Linked DNA regions of Struthio camelus. The protein of the gene in region 1 purifies or fractionates together with the protein of each later gene. This does not show direct contact. Links are inferred from orthologs where the notes say so. Each region holds a gene or a part of one and is shown in the gene's direction. Other genes may lie near its edges.

Region 1 (11,750 bases):
CAACAGAGACTGCAGGCAAGGAAGGGAATATTACACTGGGATTTTGAATAAGGGTCTCTTTCTGGAAAAGAGGGACATGTCCTTGAATTACACTTATGATTGATTAACCGCTTTTTCCACATGGCGAGTTCAAAAACTATGTAGACCTTCATTTTTTTTTGAGGTTCATGCAAATATCTCTTTTAAAGAGAAAATTGCTCAAGGATGTAGATGCGACCTTGAAATGACAGTGCCAGAGCAGTGGATGAACTTGTTTGTAGGGTGATCTTGAGAAATAATTGCTGTAGAAAGAACAGGGAGTGAGTATAATACCTCCTTTCCTCAGCTCTCCAGGTTGCATATAATCTTAGAGAACCTCACAGGGTAATACAATAAAGGAGTACTTTAGCAGCAGTACAGAAATGCAAATGTGGCATGAGTGCACGTAACTAACGACAAACTCGTGCAGTATCTCTTGTGTGCTAGTCTCACCTGTGCATTCCTTGAAACTCCCACTGTGACCCTTCTTGTTTTGGGCGGGGGGGGAGGGGTTTAACCGTGTAAACATAAGGGAATATTTTAAATATATAAGGGAATATATTTTGGATACAGGACTTCTTACGCAAATGGTTTCAGCGCTCCTGGGGAGCCTTAGATCTTAGCAATAGTCTAATAGGATGCTTCCTGAAATATTTTGATCTGTTCAATGTTAAAACCTGCTGATTTATCTCTGACAGATGAAGATTACTATGAAGATGATGAAGAGGACGATCCAGATGCATTAAAGGACCCTCTTTACCAAATAGATCTCCAGGTGATGCTCTAGAATGATTCTTTTTTTATCTGATTTCTATCATTTTCTATAAATTTTATTTTTTATATTGTACTTGAACAAAACTGCGAAACACCGCTGACACCGGATAACGATTGTTGTCCTGAATGTACTCAGTTTATTGAAATTGCTTTGGGAAGTGCTGAGTATCCAAAGAACGCCCTGAGCCATTGTTTCTTATTGTAGCAATATCTATAATTTGGAAATGTGAATCAACGACCCTTTGTGGGCAGGGGTTGAGGCTCCTCGTAGCTCTTTGATGAGATCAAAAGCTGGTGGAGACTGAACGTTACAGAACTTGAATGTTCCACTTGGAGGTGCTCCTATCCAGTCACAGTTCCTGGGCAATACTTTGACCCTGCTTTTTAACACCACCTGGAAGCTGTTTACCAGCCTTTCCCCTCTGCTGCCTCCCGTCCTTCTGCATCCCTTCTCCACGTTCCCTGTATTGCCTTTGTTTTATTTGGTGTATGTTAGTTTTACCTTTTGATACACGAAAGAAACAGAATTTCCAAAGTGAAGCAATGCTAACTTGATCTTTTTGTCTTCTTTTTAGGCCTATCTCACTGACTTCCTGTGTCAGTTTGCACAGCAGCCGTGCTATGCAATGTTTTCAGACCATCTCAATGAGAATGAAAAGCGAGTGTTACAGGCCATTGGTATATAAACCCAATCAAGAGACCATACTGATCATATCTGAACAATATTTTTCTGGCTTATTCCACGTTTTATGATTAAACATGAAACATTTTCCAGTGTCCACCTGCTTGTTACAGGTGGATGATGGGCCTCATTGCGAAGTATTGAGCCTCATCTTATCATGAATCTGCTAAGGGAAGGAATACTAAGCAAGCAGCAAAGACGGAAGTCTGTAGAGCTTTGCACATTAATCTCACCAAGGGAGCACTTTCATTTTCCACAGTAATGTTCCAGGAAGTTCTTAAAAGAATGTGTCCTTAAATATTTTTAAAAGCAAACTGTCTCTGCCTGTCAAGAGGCACTTAAACTGAATTTCACACAGCACAGATGGACAGAGAAAGGAATCAGGTCACTTACAAATTGCTTGGATGTGTCTTGAAATTGGAAGGTTGTTCCTCTTTGTGCTCACATAACACATACAGGGTAAATATCTGGATCTTACAGTGTGACTTCTTTTTATAGAACTATAGACTCTTTTATCAGAGATGCCTGAATGGTATGGAACCTGTTTACAGGAGTTTGGATGGGAAGCTGAGACAATAAAAATAACTGCATATCTTCTTTCCTAGTGTGGATGGAGCTTTGTTGCTCACATCTACTCTCTAGTCCCATGGGAGCAGTTCTTTACTAATGCTTTTGTGTGCACATGCTTAAAGGAAGCTACCACTTAATTTCTGTTCCTGTGGCATGTGGCTACTAAAGACTTTGGTTTTATGGAACACAAGGAGCCACAATTTTTAGGGGGAAAATCTGATTATATTTAATGCATTTGCTCCATAACAGCCACTCTGATCTACTTTGCTTCCTTCACACTCCTGTGTGTATTTTTATAGAGTGGTAAAATAACATTTACAAATTGATTTACCCATAAGAACAGCGTGATGTATCTCACAACACCTCTCTGCCTTTGGTTCCCCCTTGGGGAAAATTAAAATAAAACTATTAAAATATACATTGGTATCCTTCTTATAAGACAGAGTTGAAAGGAAATTGCACTTGTTTCCCGAAATTGCTTTTTAAGACATATTTCTCCTTAGGAGATCTCCTATATGTGCCACCTGGAGGTTGTTAGGGTATTTCACAGGAGTCATCTGGACAGAAAGGGAGTCCTGTAATGGTTACATCATCTTCTGCTTAAAAGAAAGAGTGATCCATTATAGAGTTTCCTTTCTTAAGAAAGGTACTTGCTGTTCCTTTGTGGAATAAAATGCTTTGAAGTTGTATTTAAAAGCTTCCAAAGAGCTGGAATATGTATGCATCTTACTGGTCTAATTTACCGTATGGCTTTTCACTTTTCTTACCAGCAGGGGGTGATGAATTACTTTTTTTAAATGAACAAAGATGGCACAACACAATTTGTTTAGCATATGTGGGATAATGGTAAAATAACACTAAATTCTAAAGCTGACATTGCTTCCCCTCTCATGCCTAAAGCCCTCATGTTGTGCCTAAGAACAAGCAGAAATAGAGGGAATCCCACACGTCTTGCTACATGCCTGTAGATTGATCTGTCCCATCTTTGATTTCTCAGTAGTTTTCTATGAATAACTCCATGGCAAGTAGAATTTATGAAGCCTGATTTTATTTTTTGTGGCTTTGGATTAGTCTGTGTCTAATTCTAAAGGTATGAGCTCTGGAAAGTTTCCATGCAGTTGAGTCTCAATTTTTCTTCCCTGTCGGTTCTCTGGTGTATAAAACTAATTCAATTTTGTGCCATGGCCTTCCCTTCAGTGTGCGCTCTGCTGTGGCTCTGTCTCCTCTCTAGTCTCCCCCTCCCCGCCAAGTCTTCTAGGAATTTTGTTCGAGGTACGTGTGTCTCATAGCTTTCATTGAAATGGGCTGACAAGTTAAACTAAGCAGTGCAGTCTCATGAGGAAACTGAGAAATAGATGGCTGCAGTGCCTGATAGCTGTACAAAAGGATCAACTGAGTGACCAGTCCCAGCTGAGAGAAGAGACAGGACCATGTTTGCTAGCTGACATTCCTCCCCTGAATATCGGAATGGGCCTGTACTGCATGAAAACAGTTTGTAAGTCAATGGAACAGAAGAGTGAAGACCAAATCTAAATTTTCATTGCAAGTTACAAAATTAAGAAGGGCTATCAAATACTTTACCCCAGGAACTGACAGCAGAACTTGAAAATAGTCATTCATTGTTTGAGGTAAGTGGATACCTAACACTTGAAAGCACCTGGATGTGCTTTAGGCATCGGTAAGAAATGGACCACATACTTGTCTGGCTCGTTAGGGCTTTGTGGAGAGGGGCTGGTAGGGTTCATGTGCTTTCAGTTGGAAGTTGACTCGTGTGCCTTAACTGTACTTGCTTTATGCACCCTTAAGGTGCATCAAGTTGGATGACGAGTTTAAGCAAAAACATGAAAAATGGGTGCAGCTTAGCACCATTCCTCATCCTGAGTTGTATCTAAGGATTTCTTTGGATTTGCAGGGTCCCGTGAGTAAGTGATGGGCAGTTTCTTACAGAGTTCCTATCGGAGCTCTTCAGTGCATTGGTTAGAAGCTGCTCTTTGATTTGCAGGTATCAAGGGCTTGCTCTTTCCAGGAGTGCAACCAGTGAGATGGGAAGGAGTGGGGGGGGGAAATGGTGGCTCTTTGGGAACTAGTGCTCTGCACTGTCCTTCCTGTTGCATTTGGTTCATGTGCACCCACCTGGGCCCCTTCCAGCAGAATGAGCTGACCAAGTGCAGTGCCACTATGCAAGAGTGCTGATTTAAAATTCAGTTTGGGAGCAGCCTTTGAGATGATCCTGGGCCTGTCTGCGTGTTGTGGGTCAAGGGGAACAGGAACAGCCTAGTTTGTCTACAGCGGGTGCTCCACTGCAAGCAAACTCACAGCGTGCAGGACGCTTTCAGGCAAGAAATATACTGACTTGAGCTTCCCATAGGAGAGAGGCTGAATAAAGGATGAGAGCTACAGTGCATGATGGAGATGGTTGAAAGAGCCTTAAGTGGTCCCATGGGTGCCTGTACTGATGTTACTCCTTTGCCTTCTGCTTTCCCTGTGTTCTCTTCCTCCCTTTAAAAATTCTCAGAATGTGACACTATATATCTTTAAACAAGTGATGACTGGAGGGTCATCGGCTTTGCTGAAATAAATCTGAGCCAGTAGCGTGAGGTAATTGCTCAGGATGAAATACGGTGAAATGTCTGGAAAGCTGTCTAAGGTCTAGTGTTGAGATGTGGAATGCCCATTTTACTTGTGTACTGTGAAAAGAAACTAAACTAACCCTCACTAAAGGTTACTAACTCCATGTTATGAAAACCAAGCTCCCTTTTATACTTAGTTAAAAAGAAGGATGGGACTGAGGCTACTACTGGACATCCATGAGCCTTTGCCACTTCCGAAATCAGTGCCTGGCACTTTTGCATCCTTGTCAAAGCTCCTCGCGGAGGAGATGCCAATTGTGTTTTTGCACACTGGGTTTTATCTTGCTAGAATAGCATGAAGGTCCGATAGCCACAGAATATAATTTAAATAGTGACTCAATCAGCTGTGACTCTGGATGGAGACTTTACGCCTATTCATGAGTATTGTTCTTGGTATTTTTTTGTATTAATAAAATCTTTTAATGTATAAGCGTGCCTTGCCTCCGAGTCTTACAGAGATTGGTAACGAGGAGGGAGAGCACCCTCAGCTGCGCCAATCTGGCATCCCGGGCCGGGCCAGGCCTGACGCCCTGCTTCGAAGGGTGTTTTGCCTCTTTGGGGTTTGACTCTTGCAGCGCACAGAGCTGGTTAAGGTGTTTTAGGCCCTTGTTCTCCAAAGCTGGGCCAGCAGCTGGGCACTGTGACTGCGCCGCCTGTGCGTGCGGCCACCTCGCATGAATCCCGCCTGCGGCGTGGGGTTGCTATAGGGCACCAGAGCAGGCCTGGGTGGCCTTCTGGCCCCTGTGGAGCCCAGGCTGCTGGACTGAATGAGGAAAATGACTTTCGGGACCCCTTGAGAAGCTGGCAAGGTGCGTGCGGCTCCTTCCCTGCCGTGCCAGGAGCAGGCTGGAGCGCTGCGGGTCCACCCACCTGCCCACCCTTGGTCCTGCGGGCGTGGGACTTGAACCCGCCGCTACGTGCTGCCTAGGTGCGCCCCCCGCCCCGGAGCGGGGCACGCCGGGAGCTGTAGTCCCGCGGCGGAGGGAACGGCCGTGCCAGGCGCTGTAGCCGCGGGGCGGGCGGTAGAGCCAAGCCGGGCGCTGTAGTCGCGGGGCACGCCGGGAGCTGTAGTCCCGCGGCGGGAGGACGAGCCAAGCCGGGCGCTGTAGTCGCGGGGCACGCCGGGAGCTGTAGTCCCGCGGCGGGAGGACGAGCCAAGCCGGGCGCTGTAGTCGCGGGGCACGCCGGGAGCTGTAGTCCCGCGGCGGGAGGACGAGCCAAGCCGGGCGCTGTAGTCGCGGGGCACGCCGGGAGCTGTAGTCCCGCGGCGGGCGGGCTCGCCGGTTGGTGCGCGGCGGCGGGGCTGGCGCGGGCCATGGCGGCGGCCGGGGCGCCGTCGGGCGGCGCGGGGCGCTCCAAGGTGGCGCCGAGCGTGGACTTCGACCACAGCTGCTCGGACAGCGTCGAGTACCTCACCCTCAACTTCGGGCCCTTCGAGACGGTGCACCGGTGGCGCCGCCTCCCGCCCTGCGACGAGTTCGTGGGGGCCCGGTGAGCGGCGGCGGCGGCGGCGGCGGCGGGGGGTGGTGGTGGGTCCCGGCGGCTCCTGACCGCCGCTCTCTGCCGCCCGCAGGCGCAGCAAGCACACCGTGGTGGCCTACCGGGACGCCATCTACGTCTTCGGCGGCGACAACGGGTAAGGCCGCGGCGGGGCCGAGGGGAGCGGGGCCGCCGGGGCCGCCGCGCCGCCCCCCCCCCCCTCAGCCGCCTCTCCCGTCCCTCCCGCAGGAAGACGATGCTGAACGACCTGCTGCGCTTCGACGTGAAGGACTGCTCCTGGTGCAGGTGGGCCGCGCTGCGCCCCGGCCCTCTGCCGCCCCGCGCGGCTGCGAGACGCCTCGTCCCCCCGCGGCGCCGTTATGCTGGGTGTAACGGCTGGGGGCTCTGCACAGCCCCTCGCGGAGGGCGAGCCCCCCGGCCCCAGCATGCAGCTTTTATTTACCACTCTTAGTCTAGCACCAGATCTTAGGTCACGTAGTTAAACCAAAAAGAGTGAAAATGCCCCCTCGCGACCGGTAGAATAACTCTTAACGCCTGTTTCCGCGTTGAACCCGCACAGCAGCTTTGAATGCCCGAAGCGCGACAGTGTTGTTTGATTGCCACTGTTCTAACTGTTGCACAGGGCTTTTACCACGGGGACGCCGCCAGCACCGCGATACCACCATTCGGCTGTGGTCTATGGGAGCAGCATGTTTGTGTTTGGTAAGACAGCGGCAGGTTACAGCTGCGTGCCCTTGGGACGATAGATGTGTCTGTCCTCTCTTAAAACAGAGCAAGGTGTTTCCTACAGAGCGTCAAGAGGATCTCATTCAATAGGAAAGCTGGTGTTTTTCGTGGTTGACTGTGATTTGGACCTTAGCTTTGAAATAGCTTTACTCTTTTGTCTAAGGTAAAGAAAACTTGAAGCTCAGTGCCGTAGCATTTCTTTAGGGATAGAAGTAAGGTTGGAGGACAAGCCTCCCATGTTTAGCGTTCCAGCAGTCAAATAACTTTTGTTTGAGTGACGTAAACTTAAATTTCTTCTAATATATTGACTACAAGTATATATGCTCTCTTGAAATAGTCTAATAAAATTGTTATTGCCCAGGTGGCTATACTGGAGACATTTATTCCAATTCCAACTTGAAGAATAAAAACGATCTTTTTGAATATAAATTTGCAACTGGACAATGGACAGAGTGGAAGACTGAAGGCAGGTAAGGAGCTGGCATCATTGCCCCGCTCTTCAAGGGGACTTGGGTGTTACTCAGCAAGTACTTACAGTAGCACATAGTTACAAATAGTTACACTGTTAGTATTAAAGTGCTAGGACTGTGCACAGTCCTTTACATTGATTGTAAAGAATCAATAAGAACATTTAAAAATTCAGCACATTTAAAAGCTGTGCTTTTCCCCGCAGCTGCAGGTCTGCATACTGCATAAATGACCACTACCTTCTCAAACAAGCTAACGTTATGTCTCCTGGACTTGTGGCGTCACAGTTTTGTACAGCACTTCTTGATTGATTTGGTAAAAACAACACAAATTAGGGAGAAGAAATCATAGGATTGATTTTTTATTGTGGCACTGTATCTCATGAATGCTATGACTAAACGATCCCAAAAATATATTGTGAGCTCTGACCCTGATCTCATTTATGCATTCCACCTTCTTAGTAGGTGAAAATACACGTAGGATTATTTTATCGCATGTAAATTGCCACTTCGCCATAATGACAATGATATTGTCCTCTACAATTTAGCCAGCTTTCAAAAAATACTTAAGAACGTTTGAAGATTGGCAAGGAATTCATTGGATTTTTTTTGGTTTTTTGAGATAATTTTTTCTCATGAAGGAAGCAGAGTGTAAAGTTCTGCAGCCCTGGACAAGGGCTTCTTCTTGTGTGCTTTGACAGTGTATGACAGTAGCAATTTCCTAGCTTGAAGGCATTTAATATAGGGAGCTTTTATTCTTGTGAAATGTGTGTTTTAGCTATGATGCAGATCCTTATAGCACCTTTCCTGGTCAGTTAAGATTTTTTTTTTTAATTATTTTTAAATCTCCTCAATTGCAGATTGCCAGTTGCGAGGTCAGCTCATGGTGCAACAGTGTATAGCGACAAGCTGTGGATCTTTGCAGGATATGATGGCAATGCGCGGTAAGTAACGGCATCACTCTCTCCTTGGTCCCTTTTGTAACATCCCAGTCACTCACTTTTCACTTCCGTAGAGATGTTTTCCTATTCCAAGTGTTTTAAACACATAACTAGAGCTTTGCGAAGCCTAGCTTATTGATGAGCATTGTAGACCTTTGCAATTCACTGGCTCATGTTCACATAAGTATACATTAAAAAGCTGGTGACTCGGAATGTTTGAGGATGCATAAACTGATCACCTGCTTGATTGCGAGGATGCTAAGTGATCTTTGGATTTGGCAAGTGAGCATTTTCCAATATGCCACAGGCCTTCTGATGTTGCTACAAGCTTTGAGGAAAAAAGCAGGGTTTTTCTGTGAAGTCCTATGATGGAACTGAAAACAATATGCCAGCTTTTCCTCTGAAAACATGTGGCACTTCTGGTGGGATATTGCACTGAGATGACAGACTTGTTTGCTTCTAAGGCAGATGAGATTTTGGATAAGAAAAGACTGGAAGTGAGTGGTGCTGAGAAGTTAGGGAGAATTCTGGTGCTTTGTTCCAGATGGCAAGTTCTTCACTGTTGCTATCAGTCCCTTGGGGAAGAATCAGTTCTGCACAGGCATTTTTTTTTTTCTATCTTGGTGAAGATGAGAAGTTTCTTATGATCATGCACAGTATTTGCATCAGCAAAGCATACAGAAATCAGCATGAACTAGGAGGTGCGTCAACTTACTGGGCTGCCTTTTCTTCCGATGAGAATCTGGAAAAAAGATACCAGCTCCTCACAGTCTCCAGGAGAGCTGCAGTTAAATGGAAATTTTTGTGGACATTTTGCAATGCATATGGAAAAAGCATATGGGATCTTTTCTTTATTTCTAGAAGAGGAATTTGAGAAAGATGAATGAGTCTGTGGAGTTGCTTAGTTCCAGCTTAAGGAATTCCCCAAGGACCTTGGATAGCTGAAAGGTGGGATTGGGTGAGAGGAGCTATCTATTTTACCAAGATCGTGTTAAAAATATGTTTTTGTGGAAGAGGCACCTCCAGGCAGATTTCAACTAAAGAAATGTTTGTGATCGTCTGCGAGTAACTTGTACTGGAAACAGCAGAGTCCTATGCAGTAGTCAGTGAAGTGTCAGGTTACCCTTTTCATCCTTTTATGTATTTGAGGCAGGATTCAGCCACATAACTAATTACTGTGGTCGGTATCAGGGCTTAGGTGTAGGTGTAAGTGAAAGAGTAGGTGAAAGAAAGCAGGATAATAAGGGGAATTTCTGTAAAAATCTCCAAGATTAAATTTTCAAATCCTTAAGCTCCAGGCAGAGTTGCAGTTTATAGTTGTCAACTGTAGCACACAACCAACCAGAAGGATGCTGAAGGAGGCTTATAGGAGATGATAGATGGTGGTATAAGCTTTAGGTGTAGGACAAAAATATTCCAATAGGTTTCTCTGCTAGGAGAAATAGCAGATTTTTCCTGTGCAGGAGGAGGAATGCTGATGAAATATGTGTTTTGTCCTTTCAACTCCATAAGCTAAAAATAACCACCAATAAACGGTTTCAAATCAGGTATTTTTTGTTATAATTTAGGTTAAATGATATGTGGACGATTGGCCTACAGGACAGAGAGCTGACGTGTTGGGAAGAGGTAAGAAGCTTAAAGGTGAAATAACACAGAATTTCCTTTTTTAATTTTCATATACGTTCATTTAAAATTTACTATGTTAGATCATATTTCTCTCCATTATATATGTCACACGCATGAAAAGAAACAGTGTTCAAATTTGTTTTTTGTTTGTCCAGAGAATGAGGTGTGTATGAAAGTATGATTTTGCTTCTGAATATGTGAGCAGGACCTAGTCTGCCAATAGTGGACTTTTTTTTATGCCACTTATGAAAAAAGGACTGCATTTCCCACTTCAGTCACTGCCGTAGACTGGAAACTTTGCTCACTAGCTATCAAGATCAGAGTCGTGATCCTTACAGCGTCAGGAGCTTTAAAAGTACACCCTTCTAGCCTTTCTTTTTCTTTGGTAAAATTAGTTTGTGCAGATGTGCAGGCGCAGCATTAGTTAATTAACTTTAGACAAATTTATGGGGTCTTGATTGTCTGGAAGGATTGCTACTATGTGGTCTGTCTTTATCTGCTGTATTACATGGGTTACAGCATACTTCAACATGCGTAGCTTTGCACTACAAAAATACTTGGTTTGTTTTGACACTTTGGGTGTCATCTTCTGCTAGTAGAGAGAAAATCTAGCATTTCACACTCCAAAGAGAAAACCGATTTATTTTTTTTGAACTTTGTTATCTTTCAGATTGAGCAAAGTGGTGAGATCCCTCCTTCATGCTGTAATTTTCCTGTAGCTGTTTGCAAAGACAAGATGTTTGTTTTTTCTGGCCAGAGTGGAGCAAAGATTACCAATAATCTCTTTCAGTTTGAATTCAAGGAAAAAATGTAAGTGTAGACAATTAAGTCAAACAATATCCTCATAATCCTTGACTACTTGAACTGAGAAATGCAAGTACTTAAAAGTATTGAGGAAGAATACTAAATCTCATGACTGAGAAAGGTAGATAGTTTCCAGTTCAAATAAGATAAAAAGAACTATTTTAATGAGATTTTGTAGTTTGCCATGTATTTTCTCTGTTTTTTGACAGAAGTACAGGAAGTCCTGTAGATTCACTTTACGTAATAACGATTGATCTCAGTTTATTCAGAACTGGAAGCCGAATATTATGTTACTAAAAGTCATTGTGTACATACTTGATTAAAAACAATTTTTGGGAGGTCCTGTGTAATACCAGTTCATACTGAAACCATTGGGAACTGTACAGAATGGACGATATCTTTTGAAATTAGGTAAACTGAGTGATTTCAATAAAGATATCATTTTGAAGCATCACACTTGGGGAAAGGGTACCTTATCTGTTCAGAAATCCTATTACATATCTGACATGCACAACTAATGCATTGCTGTAGCTAATGATTTTTCTCATTCAGTTCCTGGTAGTGTCTTTAGCGGAACTGTTAAAGAAGTTTCTTGCTGAATAGTGAAAAGGAGCAACTTTGTGATAGTACTAATTCCTTAGAACAAAACTACTCTATGGCCAATCCCAAGTGGGGGAGTGTCTGATTCTGCATCTCACATGTACATTTCCAGATGGGAAATTCCAATATTTTATAATAAGTTTTAATTGGTTAGCTCCTAGTCTTAAAAGAAAATAATTTGATTGTGATGAAATATATCGGTAAAAATCTGGATGTGGTTGGATGAAAAGTGACTTGAAAATTCCAGAACTGGAGAGATAAGATGATCATAAATTACATCCTAATTGAGGAATACCGAGGTGCAGTCCAGATTTTCAACACTGATTTGTCATCATTTGATTTTCCTGCTTCTTGGAATTCAAGACGTTTGGTGTGGCTGTTGCTCAGAGTGGTGACCGTTGATCTGAAAACG
Region 2 (12,065 bases), on another chromosome or scaffold:
CTTGCACAGATGAAGATTTCATTTCTTAAATTTTCTTCTGCGAATGGGCTACCACAACAGACTACCTCACAGGTTTTTATTCTGTTTTAGCATTGGCACAGGCTACGATATCTCTTTGGAAAATATCTCAAAGCTCTTAGATGCTCTGTGTTTTTGAATATTTTGTTTTTACTCAAGTAATTCCTCTACCGTTCTGCTCTTTCCTATGGAAAAAAATGTCCTCTGCGCATAGTTAAGCATCCTGCTGTATTGATTGTATTTTACACAAACTTGTCACAGAGAACAGCAGGACTGGTGGCTGTGTTCTGAGTTTTCTTTCATTTGCTTGTTTAGTTTGTTACTGTGTCCTTGAGTGTAGTATGTTCCATAGTCAAAGCCCTCTTTTAGGGCAAGTTTTATGGGGATATATGGTGCCCTTTGTCTGCAAAAGGTTAATGTAGTAAATAGATGCTTATTTTCTCATTTTTGAACATCCTTTGTAGGTTCATGCTGAATACTCTCGATTTGTGAATCAGATAACCACTGCAGTACCTTTAGCAGGTAAACGCTAGCAATAACCAAGTCTTTAGAGTTGTGTTGTCTGTGGCACTGTACTTAGAGTTAGGTTTTGTAGAGTTCTTGACATGTAGAAGTCTTTCTGTTTATGCCTTTAATTGAAAAGCAGCACAATTGCTTTTACATTTGGTAATAAATTTAACGTTTTTGTGAATTTAACTGAACTGAAAGTAACCCCCTCCCTTTCCCCCCCTCCCCCACCCACCAGGCTTTGCACAACCTGCTGCTATAAACAGTGTACCTTCTCAGCCATCGTATTATCCTTCAAATGGTTATCAGTCTGGTTATCCTGTCGTTCCCCCTCCTCAACAACCGGTTCAGCCACCGTATGGTGTACCAGGCATAGTACCACCTGCAGTACCATTGGCACCGGGAGTCTTAACAACATTGCCTACAGGAGTTCCACCTGTGCCAACACAATATCCAATATCTCAAGTACAGCCTCCAGCCAGCACTGGCCAGGTAGTGCCACAGATAAATTACTTGGGTGTATAGTTGTCAGCTTACTAAGCTGTTTCTTTACTAACAATGAAATACTTAAAGCAGTTATAGGTCAAGAAATTCTTCTTTTGGGCATGCATAAACAATTTCTCTGGTTATGGCTTTGCTCATGCTCTTATTATCTAAGGAACTAAATTGCTGCTATGGCTGCTGCTTATTGCATTTTTTTGAGCTACCTATTAACATAAAGGATGTTTGGGGTGAAATCACTCATTTATGAAAAGTGTTATTGCTGACTGTGATACCGTTATGTAGGTAAAATGAGCTTGAATTACATATAGTGACTGCTTTAAGGTGGAAGCATTCTATAAACTAAATGTGTATTCTGATGCTATATATGAATCTGCACATTGAATTTATACTTTGTTTTTTCTTTCTTTTTCTTTTTTTAACTTCTGCATACCAGAGTCCACTGAGTGGTCCTTTTCTTCCTGCTGCCCCAGTAAAAACAACCTTGCCTGCTGGTACACAGCCACAAGTCCAGCCCCACTCCCAAGGTCAAAAGAGACGCTTCACTGAGGAGCTACCAGATGAAAGAGAATCAGGACTGCTGGGATATCAGGTGGAATAAAATCAGCAATTTTACTTCCAACGCCAAAACCAAACTTTGCTAGAGAGGGGTCGTCAGTGTTTGTTTTTTTTTTTTTTTTTTTTTTTTTTAAAAACAGAGGTGCAAGACTTTTGGCAGATGGTAGTAATTGTTAAGAAATCTGGAGATACCACACTTCAGTTTCTTTGAGCAGATGCACTGTTTTTAAACAGTCCCTTATTTGATTCATTGGTAGCTTGCTTTCTTTACCTGCATTCTTTCATGAAGATAAGCAGTCCCTTCAGGCCAAAGAGATGACAATAGGGTGTCAATGGTTAGTTTAGGGGGAGGTTATTTGGGGGTTTTGTTTGTTTGTGGGCCTTGTCAGTGGGCTTGTTGGGGAGGGGGAAGTGAATGTAGTGGTTACCTCTAGATTTTCCAGCTACCTTTCCCTGCAGGGTGCACTTGAGAGGATTACAAGAAGCCTAATTTTAATGGGCTGGGCTTTTTAGATAGCCAAAGTGTGTGTGTGGTGTGTATGGTGGGTTTTTTTTTTTTTAATACAGCTGTAGGCTTTTTTGTTTATTTTCTTTAATAAAGTAACTTTGAGTTTTTCTTCAGACTTGTATATTAGTAAAAGGGAGTTCCTTTCCCTCTTCCTGCAGGCTCCCCTTCCCTGCCATGCTCTCCACCTCATCGTTCTAAACTGTCGTTGTGGAATTTTACCTAACTGGCCTTAGGCAGAAACCCTTAGTAAAAGATTTGCCTAGAGAAAATAAGTAACTGCCTATATATAAGATGTAATATTAGTGTCTCAGCAGAGTTTATTGTGGCGTAAGGTCTAAATACCATAGAGAATTAGCTGATTGAGGAGGTAGCTGCTTAGTTCGTAAATTTGACTTGCTCTCTGTCCTGAACTACTGGGAAGATGGACTAGTCAATGAGGTCTCTTCCATCTTAGCTGGAAACATGCCTGAGCACCAGATTAGCTTTTTCAGTATTAGTAGGACAAAGCATTTTGTTTAAAACTGGCAATTAGTAGCTTCTTCCATATCTTTAATAGCCAGCTTACGTTTTTTTGGTGGCTGCTAAGTAGTCAGGAACTACTTAACTTGTTCTATAGTTGGCAATATACTCTGAAAAGTTGGGTTTCCTATCATTATCGTTAAGGAGCTATAGCTTATGTTATAGTTGTAGATTTGCTAATGCCGTGTGTTTTTCTGCTCATAGCATGGACCCATTCATATGACTAATTTAGGTACAGGCTTCTCCAGTCAGAGTGAAATCGATGGAGCAGGATCGAAGCCAGCAAGTTCCTCAGGAAAGGAGAGAGAGAGGGACAGGTAAGTGATGAAAGGATTATGATCGGATCTTTGATTCTGAAGAAAAGCTTTTCTTAAAATATAAGAGGTAGGGTGAAATATGAAAGTTGTATTATTACTCATGTGGGGAGTTTTCAAAGCTGACCTGTGGTTTTTACAGCCCCTAAGGGATGAGAGAACTGGCAATAACAAGGAGATTCAGCTACAGAGCCAGTGATAGATGTCCCAAATTCATCTAAGAGACTGTTTCTTAAGGATCATCATGTAACTTGATTACTCTGTCAAGAGTTTTAGCTCAAACTGTACCTTATCCCATATTTCACGTTTTTGTCTATGCACATTAAGTTTGAGATTTTGAGATGCTGTGTATAAAAGGGAACCACACATTCTATTTGCTGCAACCTTTATCCGTTTTTAATCTGTCATCCTGATTTTTTTTTTTTTTCTTTTTTAAACCAAATGCAATGAGAGCAACTAAAAGTTAAACCACTCCACTCAGGGACTGATTTCTGTTTGCACTGTAAAGCAATGCAGACTGCCTAAAAATAAAACGACCTTTGACTCTATGCTTGTTTTAGAAATAATAAGTACTTGCACTGGTTTAAACAGGCAGTTGATGCCTCCACCAGCTTTTCCTGTCACTGGGATGAAATCGGAATCTGAAGAAAGAAATGGCGCGGGGTCTTTACCAGGCAACCATGGTGAGTGTAGTGAATAAAACAGATTTATGTGGAAAAGCGAACTTGACAAGTTTGCTCTGATCTTTACATAGATTTAAACAAATTGGTGGGTTTTTTTCTTTACAGTGTGTTTTTAAGTGAAAGAGAGGTCATATTCCACTGCTCAAAAAATCATATGTGTTCACTTTGACTATACACACATGGTGCTTCTCTTAAAACTTTATATACTTTAAAAAGTATTGTTATGGAAGATGTGAGGAGGTGATTAAGTGGAGGAGAAAAGACTGGGATTCTTGTCCTCTCAGTCCACTGAGGCACAATCTCATGGGGTTGTTTTGTAACACAGATATCACGTGGCTTTACATTGTGAAGGCTGTCTCTAGAGGCACTAAGGAACATCTGTGGGAGTTACGGTTCAGGTGTGCATTTATAGACATGAGTTATGTCCACCTTGCCTGCAAACAACAGAAGTGTTGTTAGAGTTCATCCTTTCATAGGGCTTTCATACATCAATTATTTGTAACTTGAGGGAAACACGTGATCACTACATCTCCTAGTAGTTGAATAGCGCCTTCACATTAGGTCTGCAGGCCCGTCACGTTAGTCTGTTTTAACCTTAGTTTTTCTGCAGTATTGGTCCCAGAGATTGCTCTTCTGTTAAATTTCTTTTGAACAAAATTTCTACTTTTCTTACATAGTTATCTCTTTAACGGTGAAATTGCTACCGCTTAGACCCATTTGCTAACTTTACCTTTTTTGTGTGTTTCTTTCTTCTTTCTCTGTTCTCTTACATGGTTCTGATGGATCACATGTGCTGTTGCTGGTGCTGTTTCGTGTGGCCTTCGACCTTGGGTGACCATTGGCCTTGTGACCTCAAAATGGTGTCCAACTAACAATTTACAATTAACTTTTTTTTTAATTAACTTGTTTGGGGGAATTTTATCTCTCTTTTTCTTTCTTTTTTTTCTTTTTGTTTTTTTTTTTTCTTGGGGTTTGGTTGTTTTGTTTTCCCCTCCTAGATCATCAAGCTAAGAAGATGAAAACTGCAGAAAAGGGGTTTGGATTGGTGGCATATGCTGGAGATTCATCAGATGAAGAGGAGGAACATGGTGGCCATAAAAATGCAAGTACTTTTTCACAGGGATGGAGTTTGGGATACCAGTACCCTTCTTCACAACAGCGAGCTAAACAACAGATGCCATTTTGGATGGCACCATAAAGGCTACAGAACAATTTTCATATGTCTTTTTTTTTCCCTCTAGCAATAATGCATGTATATTAAACAATGAACTTTGCAAATACGCATTGTTTTTACATTTGCAGAAGCTAAAGCTTCAGTATTCCCTCTTGAAAGGGCTCCATTATTTTTTAAATCCTTGTTCCTGCGGTGGATTTGTCAATGATGAGAAATACTTGAAATACTATTTTGGCATGGGAAGTCCCTTATAAAATGGGGGAAGTACTATAAGGAGAAGCTAGGGAAGCCTGTCTCTCCCTGTGCTCCCCATCTTTCCAGGATAACTTAAACGGAAAGAGCCAGCAATGCTGACTTCATTATACATCTGGTGTTCGTATCTTATCCAGTGTTCCTGCTGTCAGCTTGTTTGCAGTCCCATTGAGCTAATGCTGACCACGGATTCAATGTTTGGACTTTCAACAAAGAAAGGAACATTCAGTAGTTTTGAAAAATTTGGGGATCACGCTTCCTAAAATTCCTAATTTGTTTTTACTTTAAGCATCTCCTGTAATTCAGCATTTCTTTTTTTAAACGTGTTTTCTACTAACTCCATAACTCTTGGTTCTAGCTAAATGTCATCGGGGGGGGGAAAAAAAACGCTCAGTTTTTTTAATCAGTTCATCTTGCCGCTACTCCCTAGGTGGACTTGGTACTTTATCCATGGTACTTAATCTTTTCAAATTATCCCTGTACATTTCATTCCATTCAGCAGTTCAAATGGAAGTACTTCTCATGAGGTTCTCCCAAGATTCTCTCACTCTTAATTCATTCACTTATTTGATTCTACCAGTTTTGTTTCATGGTGGTTTAACAAAGAAATGCAGCAACCTGGTGTATACATTGCCAGAGACCCGAGTGCAAGCGTTGTTATTGCATTGGAGCACAGAAGTGGAACCTCTGAATTAAGCTGTTGGATTGCTTATGGACACGCGCTGCATCACGGCCTTTCCTGCCAGGGCAGGCTGTTGGCTGTTGCAGAACTTTTTTTTCTTTCTTTTTTCCTTTTTTTTTTTTTGTTTTTGAGAACAATGATGTGTGCATCCACTGGAGCGTGGGACTGTGAAGAGGTGCTGGTCAACTTTTAAGACAGGAGTAATAGTTTGAGAAACGGGAAGGTGTGTCCTTTATGCACACTGGAGGACCTTGCTGGCTCACCTGTATAAACATACGCTCTTTCCTACGTGTTGTAAATAATTAGAACCATACTTTCATTATAAATAAATGTATAAATATTCTGCTTCTTGCTGCTTCCCCCCCCCCCTTGACGTTTAAGTTTAATGGGAACAGACCCCTATGGCCTGCTGTTTGCCTTAATGTTTTAAAAAGATAATTAGTAGTAGTACGTGCCCGCGGGGAGGGGGAAGAAAGCCTCCGGGCGGGGCGGGGCGGGGCGGGGCCAGGGGCGGGAGGCTCCGCCCTCTCCCGCTGGCGGGGGCGGGGCTAACCCGGAGGGGTGTGGCCGGTGGGGGGCGGGGCGCCGGGCGCTCGCTCGCGGTGAAGCAGGAGCCGCCGCCATTTTGGTTTCGCTGCCTCGGCTCCGAGCAGGGCCGAAGCGGCGGCGGCGGCGGGTCGGTCCGGCTCCCGCCCTGGCCCCGTCCGTCCGCGCGGGCGGCCGGGAGGATGCGGCGCGGAGGAGTCTGACGTCCCGGCTGTGGTGGTGAGGCGGGCGGGTGGCGCGCGGCGGGGCGGAGCCGAGCGGGGCGGGGGTGGGTGGGTGTGTGTGTGTGGGGGGGGGGGCTGTTGCTCACGCTCTTCTCTTACCTCAAGCGGCGGCTGGTTCCCTCGGCGCTGAGGAGATGGACGCTGGAGCCCGCCCGGGCGTCGGCGCTCCCGGGCAGTCCCGCGAGTACAAGCTGGTGATGCTGGGCGCCGGCGGCGTCGGCAAGAGCGGTGCGTGCGGGCCCCCCCCGGGTGGGGCGGGACGGGGCGATCCGGCGCCTGAGGGGGAGGCGCGAGCGGCGGCCGTTAGACCCGGCTGGGCGGGACGGTCCTGCTGCCGCTCCCGCCGGTGCCGCCGCTTGTGCCTCAGCTGCGTCCAGCAGGCAGCCCGGGGGCAGGAGCGCTGAGGAGAAGCAGCGTTCGTCAGCAGAGCAGCTCGGGTTGCCGCGCTGTTCCGGTGCCCCGGGGGTGGCTCCAGCGTGCGGTTGTGTCATCATCTTCCGCGTTTCCAGCTTTGTTTCTGGAAACTTGCGGCGCTGTGGTCGAGGGCATGGTTCTCGGTTGTTTCTGAGCGGCGCTTCATCTGTTACGTTTCTTTCCAGTCTCGGGCTCAGTCTGTTTTTTTTCTCTGTCAGCTTTATGTTTTAGCTGTTAGTGAAATAACGTGCCTAAATGTGTTGTGAACTGAACGATGAGGTGGTGGATGTTTGCCAAGACTGTAAGAGTCTCCAATTTTTGTTTCCAGCCATGACCATGCAGTTTATCAGTCACCGATTTCCAGAGGACCATGATCCCACAATTGGTGAGAAAAATCTCTCTTTTCCCTTTCCTGTTCCCTCCCTCTCCAGATTAAGCTACTGTGGAAGCTATTGCTTTAAAGTGCTTAATTTAAAGAAGGTCATAAATTTGACTCTAAATTGAGGGCTCAAAATCCCTTAGACTACTAATTTAAGGAGTTAGTAGTTCTGAGACTGCCGTCAGGACTGAGAAGCATATCCTGAGTTTTCGATCATTAGTGTTTTCCCTATTGAGTATACCGTTAAAGTTTATTATATTCAGGCTATGTATTACCTGCGTTTGTGTGTTGGTGGACAAGGATAAAAAAAAAAAACTGCTGATGGGTAATTGTTGGCAGTCTATTCAAGAAATCAAGTCTCCATAACGTAGGTCAGTTCTCTGCTATTCCCCGCGTTTGTCAGGCCAAAGTGTGCTCTGCGTTTGAGAAACTTCCAGTTAACTTGGAAGGGATGAAAACGCTCAGCTGCTTACTGTATTGCTGCATATCTTCTGTGACTGGTTTCTTCAGCATCTCTAAAAGAAACCTTAGCCAACAATTACTCTTTCAAAGGAAAAGCAGGAAAAATAGCTAAATTCTTGTTGAAAGCAGACTGTTTCAGTGTGAGAATACTGGTTTAGAGGAACAGAAAATTGTGTCACTTCTAAGAAAGTGGCAGTTGGTGGTGGTGGCCATTATAATTCTTTTATTGAGTCAGTGGGTATTTTCTGGCTTTGAGAAAAATGCAATGCTCCTACCTTGTGCTTTCCACAAAGGTGTGCAAGATTGAACTTAAAGGATGTTTTCACTTGCCTATCAGAAGTAGCAGGTGCAATAATTTTAGCACGCAGCTGGATGGGATACTAAATAATACTTGAGCAGTTATATTTTGTTTTGTTGTACGTGTAGAGCGGGCTAATTTAGTGTAGTAATATTACCTGACGAAGTCCTTTTTGTGTAACACTTTTCCTGTATTCATGACTAATGAGGACTGCAATTGTATTCCAACTTTGTTCTTCCTAATGTATTGTGAATTCAAAGAGGACGCTTATAAAATACGAATACGCATTGATGATGAACCTGCAAATCTGGATATCTTGGACACAGCAGGACAGGTATGTGACTAATAAGAAGTGAATTGGGAGGGTTTTAGAAGTCTGTAGTGGCCATACATAGAGACCCTGTAACAGTATGCTTGTGATGCAGTATGATTGATTTTATGAGCTTTCTTTTTTTCTTGCATGTATCCCATTGTTTATAGCGTCTGCATCATACTGTCTGTATCTAGGTAGTCCAAATGGTATCCTTGTTTCATATCTTGCTTTCTTCATTGTATCTTTGCCATTCATGCTCTACAAACCATATATGTTGCCTGATAAATGACATTTTTAAGTGATTCCTGTAGCAAGGGAAACTGAGCATTAATCCCAAATGTGCATAATATCTTGTCTCATATGTAGCAGGACAAGAAGATAGATAACCAGCTTATTTGCAAAGTTTCTGTCCAGCTATTTTGGAATGCTTTGGAATGTTTCCTCTGATGTGAGCGAATTAGAAGTCATTGTATTTGTGCAACTGAAACGTAATCGTCTGTTTCTAGGCAGAGTTTACAGCCATGAGAGACCAGTACATGAGGGCTGGTGAGGGATTTATCATCTGTTACTCGATCACCGACCGACGCAGTTTCCATGAAGTACGTGAGTTCAAACAGCTTATTTATCGTGTTCGGCGTACTGATGACACTCCTGTGGTCCTGGTGGGAAATAAATCTGATCTGACACAGCTGCGGCAGGTAAATGGCACAAAAATACAGTAATAAAAGAGGTGATGTTCCCTTTCTTAAATTGTGTATGCTTGCTATGTAGTAAACTTAATTTAGTAAAAGTACTTGTTGAATCTGGGACATGTTGAATGAGCAAATACATGTAGTAATTGCAAAAGTAAGGTCCTCTACTTGATACCTTAGTTTTCCATTGCTATTAGTTTTTTGTTTGTTTGTTTAATAATTCCTGAAAGGCAATAGTGTCTATTAATAAAGATTTAGCATCCCATAAGCCACTTGCAAATAGTAGTACAAATGAAATAGATGCAAGTATGCTAAGAATAGAGGGGGGTAATAATGAGGAACTCCAATAAGAAGGGGCAGAAAGGAAAATGAGATTCAGCTTAAGGAAACAGTAAATACTGTCTGTGGAGAAAACACAGTCTGAAGCAGAGCTTCACTGGAAGGAAAAGTAATCTGGAAAACAAGTTCTAGAGGTAGTGTTTGTATACCTGGAATTAAGTGAGTTTTCAGCGTGCATAGCAGCAGGAAAATTACAGTAGTTACAGTAGAACACCCGCGCTAAGAGGTTTAGTGTGTAGAATGGGTAGTCAGTGCTTTTGCATGACTTACGTAAAACTCTTTCCTTGGAAAGCATTTGCTCAGTTCTGGGAAGAAGTATTTGACAAAAGCATTGGGTGCTGGCCAGCAGAAGGAAACCCTGAATTGAACTGACTGACAACTGCTTGTGTTAGGGCTGAGGGCTGCTCAAATTAAGCAACCTCTAGATTAAGCTCCAAGGAAGTGATGTTCTTTGAACGGATGTTGTTGTTTCATAAATGACCAGAGCTGCCCTGTTCAGAGAATCTCTCATAGTTGATTGCGTTTCTAGAGAAGTGGTGAGTGAAGGAACAAGAAAAATGGATTTGTAGAGAAAGATTTAGAGATCAGTGGAACCGAGCTGTTCTGGGACTGGGAGGCTGCACGCACAATTATGAAGTAAGCAGGACAAGAAAAGGTAAAGAAATAGACTTTGGGTTTTTTGGCTTTGTTAACAAATATGAACTTTTTTTTTTAAGGTCTCCAAAGAAGAAGGCTCTGCTTTAGCACGAGAATTCAACTGCCCTTTTTTTGAAACTTCAGCTGCATACCGTTACTATATTGATGATGTATTTCATGCTCTTGTGCGAGAAATCCGTAGGAAAGAAAAAGAAGCAGTAATGGCAATGGAAAAAAAATCCAAACCTAAAAGCAGCGTGTGGAAAAGACTAAAGTCACCATTTAGAAGGAAGAAGGATTCAGTCACTTGAACAGAGAAAATTCTGCAAAATGAAACAAAATCTGTGAACAGCCATTTGTAACCAAAGCGGCTTAGGGACAACATTTTGACAGGATGTTTTAAATCTGCTGGGACTTTTATCAGGGAGGGCATAATATTTACCGATTACTTCTGTTTAAAATGATATTCCCTTAATTTTGGATCTTTTAACTCATGACACAGCAATGATTTTACTTTTATTTGTTGTTGTTTTTGACTGGATCCAACAAACGTTACTCACATGTTGTTGGTTACAAATGCTGATAGGTTTGTGTCCCTGCACTTTTGGACGTTCATCTTTGGTCACTGCATACTGGAAGCTGAATTGTTTAAAATAGTGTTAAACTCCTTCCCAGCCTAACTTAATTCATTTTTTTTTCTCCTAGTTGTTTGCACAACAAAATTTTGCTGCTTTTTGGAACGGTAACCCACATCACGAGAGACGGCTTGTCGAGGTCATGCTGAAAAGTAGCTTACAAAGCACGTGTCGCGACTAACAGCCTAGGTTATATATAGATGTCAGTGTAGGATTCTTGTGTTCTCATTGAATAGACTTTTTCCAGCAAAAGTAAGTAATGTGGAATACGCAAGCTTAATACACAAGTAACGTGGAATACACAAGTTTATCTTAATTTTTCACCGTTAAAGCAGTTGGGATTCTAAACAAGTCAGAAAAAATAAGTTATGGTTCCTATGGCAGCTGTAGCTTGGCAACAACGCATGAATATGTAGCGTTTTCCTACTGTATATAGCGTTTATTGTGTTGCCATAGCGTGCGTGATATAATGATGCTGTAGTTGCGCTAGAAATTACAGCTTTGAGTTTTCTGACTTGTGTGTTAAAATCATAGCTGTAATGGTGTGGTGGCTTATTTATTTACATTGAATTTAACATTATTTTCTTAAAGGAGCCAGTATCCTTGTTAGGTAGAAATCTCTAATACAGTCATTTCAAATTACTCTAACAACTGCTTTGTAAAGATGATGACTGAAACCGAGTATTGCAGGTATTTGGGCCCGGAGTTAATATCCCTAATTCTGTTAGGATTCTTCCAGTACGCTCTTAAAAGAGTAGAATTGGTGATCCAGCGGAAGAAAACAATTAGCTGGCCACAGTGGCAGTCCTGACAGATAACTCACGTCTCTGACCTTACCTATGTATACAGTCCAGTCAGTGCATTCAGAGATTTTTCTGTATGCTCAGTAAATCATGGTTCTGCTTTGAGATGATACATCAGCTCTAGAATTTAAATCCAGAGCTGGTGTCCAAATGCAAAAAGATCACGTGACAGAGGGGTGTTATTTTGATTTTGTTTTTTAATAATATAATGAATCACAGTGAGGCAACTCAGACATGGTTAAAATAACCAAAATTAAGTGCCTAAAATCTTTCAGTTTAAGGACAAAAGAGCTTAAATTGACTCTAAATGTAGTATAGCTTCTAATCTTCGATCATCCTTGTCGGTAATTATGCTGATATCATTGATCAGAAATAAAATCTGTAATGTCAGTCTTAGCCTGCTGCATATGCTAGTGCAGTCAAAATTCAAAACGAAGCTACTTAAGTTCATGTGTAAAAAGGATCGAGTAGAAGAAGCAAGGATAGCAAATGTATAAACCGTTACGCTTTCTTGCTAAACTCTGTAGTACTTAGGATGCCACTGGAAATCCTAAGCCTGGTGCTTTTAAGAATATTTTATTTGTGTAAAATCAGAAACGTTTTATGGC

The links.
Region 2: the proteins of LZTR1 (region 1) and RIT1 purify together in Homo sapiens (affinity purification with mass spectrometry; 3 studies listed by BioGRID and IntAct, counting the BioPlex papers as one, with this or other methods). This does not show direct contact. The link is inferred for Struthio camelus from reciprocal best matches to the Homo sapiens genes LZTR1 and RIT1.

The regions. Positions count from the first base shown.
Region 1 is NC_090965.1:3,046,405-3,058,154, forward strand, and holds the start of LZTR1 (leucine-zipper-like transcriptional regulator 1), read left to right. Parts: upstream 1-5,951; 5' UTR 5,952-5,989; coding exon 5,990-6,165; intron 6,166-6,247; coding exon 6,248-6,310; intron 6,311-6,402; coding exon 6,403-6,459; intron 6,460-6,796; coding exon 6,797-6,876; intron 6,877-7,261; coding exon 7,262-7,370; intron 7,371-8,227; coding exon 8,228-8,311; intron 8,312-9,876; coding exon 9,877-9,934; intron 9,935-10,604; coding exon 10,605-10,744; intron 10,745-11,750. Other genes in the region: IPO9 (importin-9), read left to right, coding at 717-793, 1,368-1,478. UniProt on the Homo sapiens protein: Substrate-specific adapter of a BCR (BTB-CUL3-RBX1) E3 ubiquitin-protein ligase complex that mediates ubiquitination of Ras (K-Ras/KRAS, N-Ras/NRAS and H-Ras/HRAS).
Region 2 is NC_090971.1:3,975,841-3,987,905, forward strand, and holds the start of RIT1 (GTP-binding protein Rit1), read left to right. Parts: upstream 1-6,591; 5' UTR 6,592-6,620; coding exon 6,621-6,714; intron 6,715-7,118; exon of another isoform or gene 7,119-7,155; coding exon of another isoform or gene 7,156-7,228; coding exon 7,229-7,285; intron 7,286-8,247; coding exon of another isoform or gene 8,248-8,299; coding exon 8,300-8,373; intron 8,374-8,858; coding exon 8,859-9,050; intron 9,051-10,099; coding exon 10,100-10,330; 3' UTR 10,331-12,065. Other genes in the region: KHDC4 (KH homology domain-containing protein 4), read left to right, coding at 483-540, 764-1,017, 1,463-1,618, 2,816-2,928, 3,517-3,608, 4,607-4,806.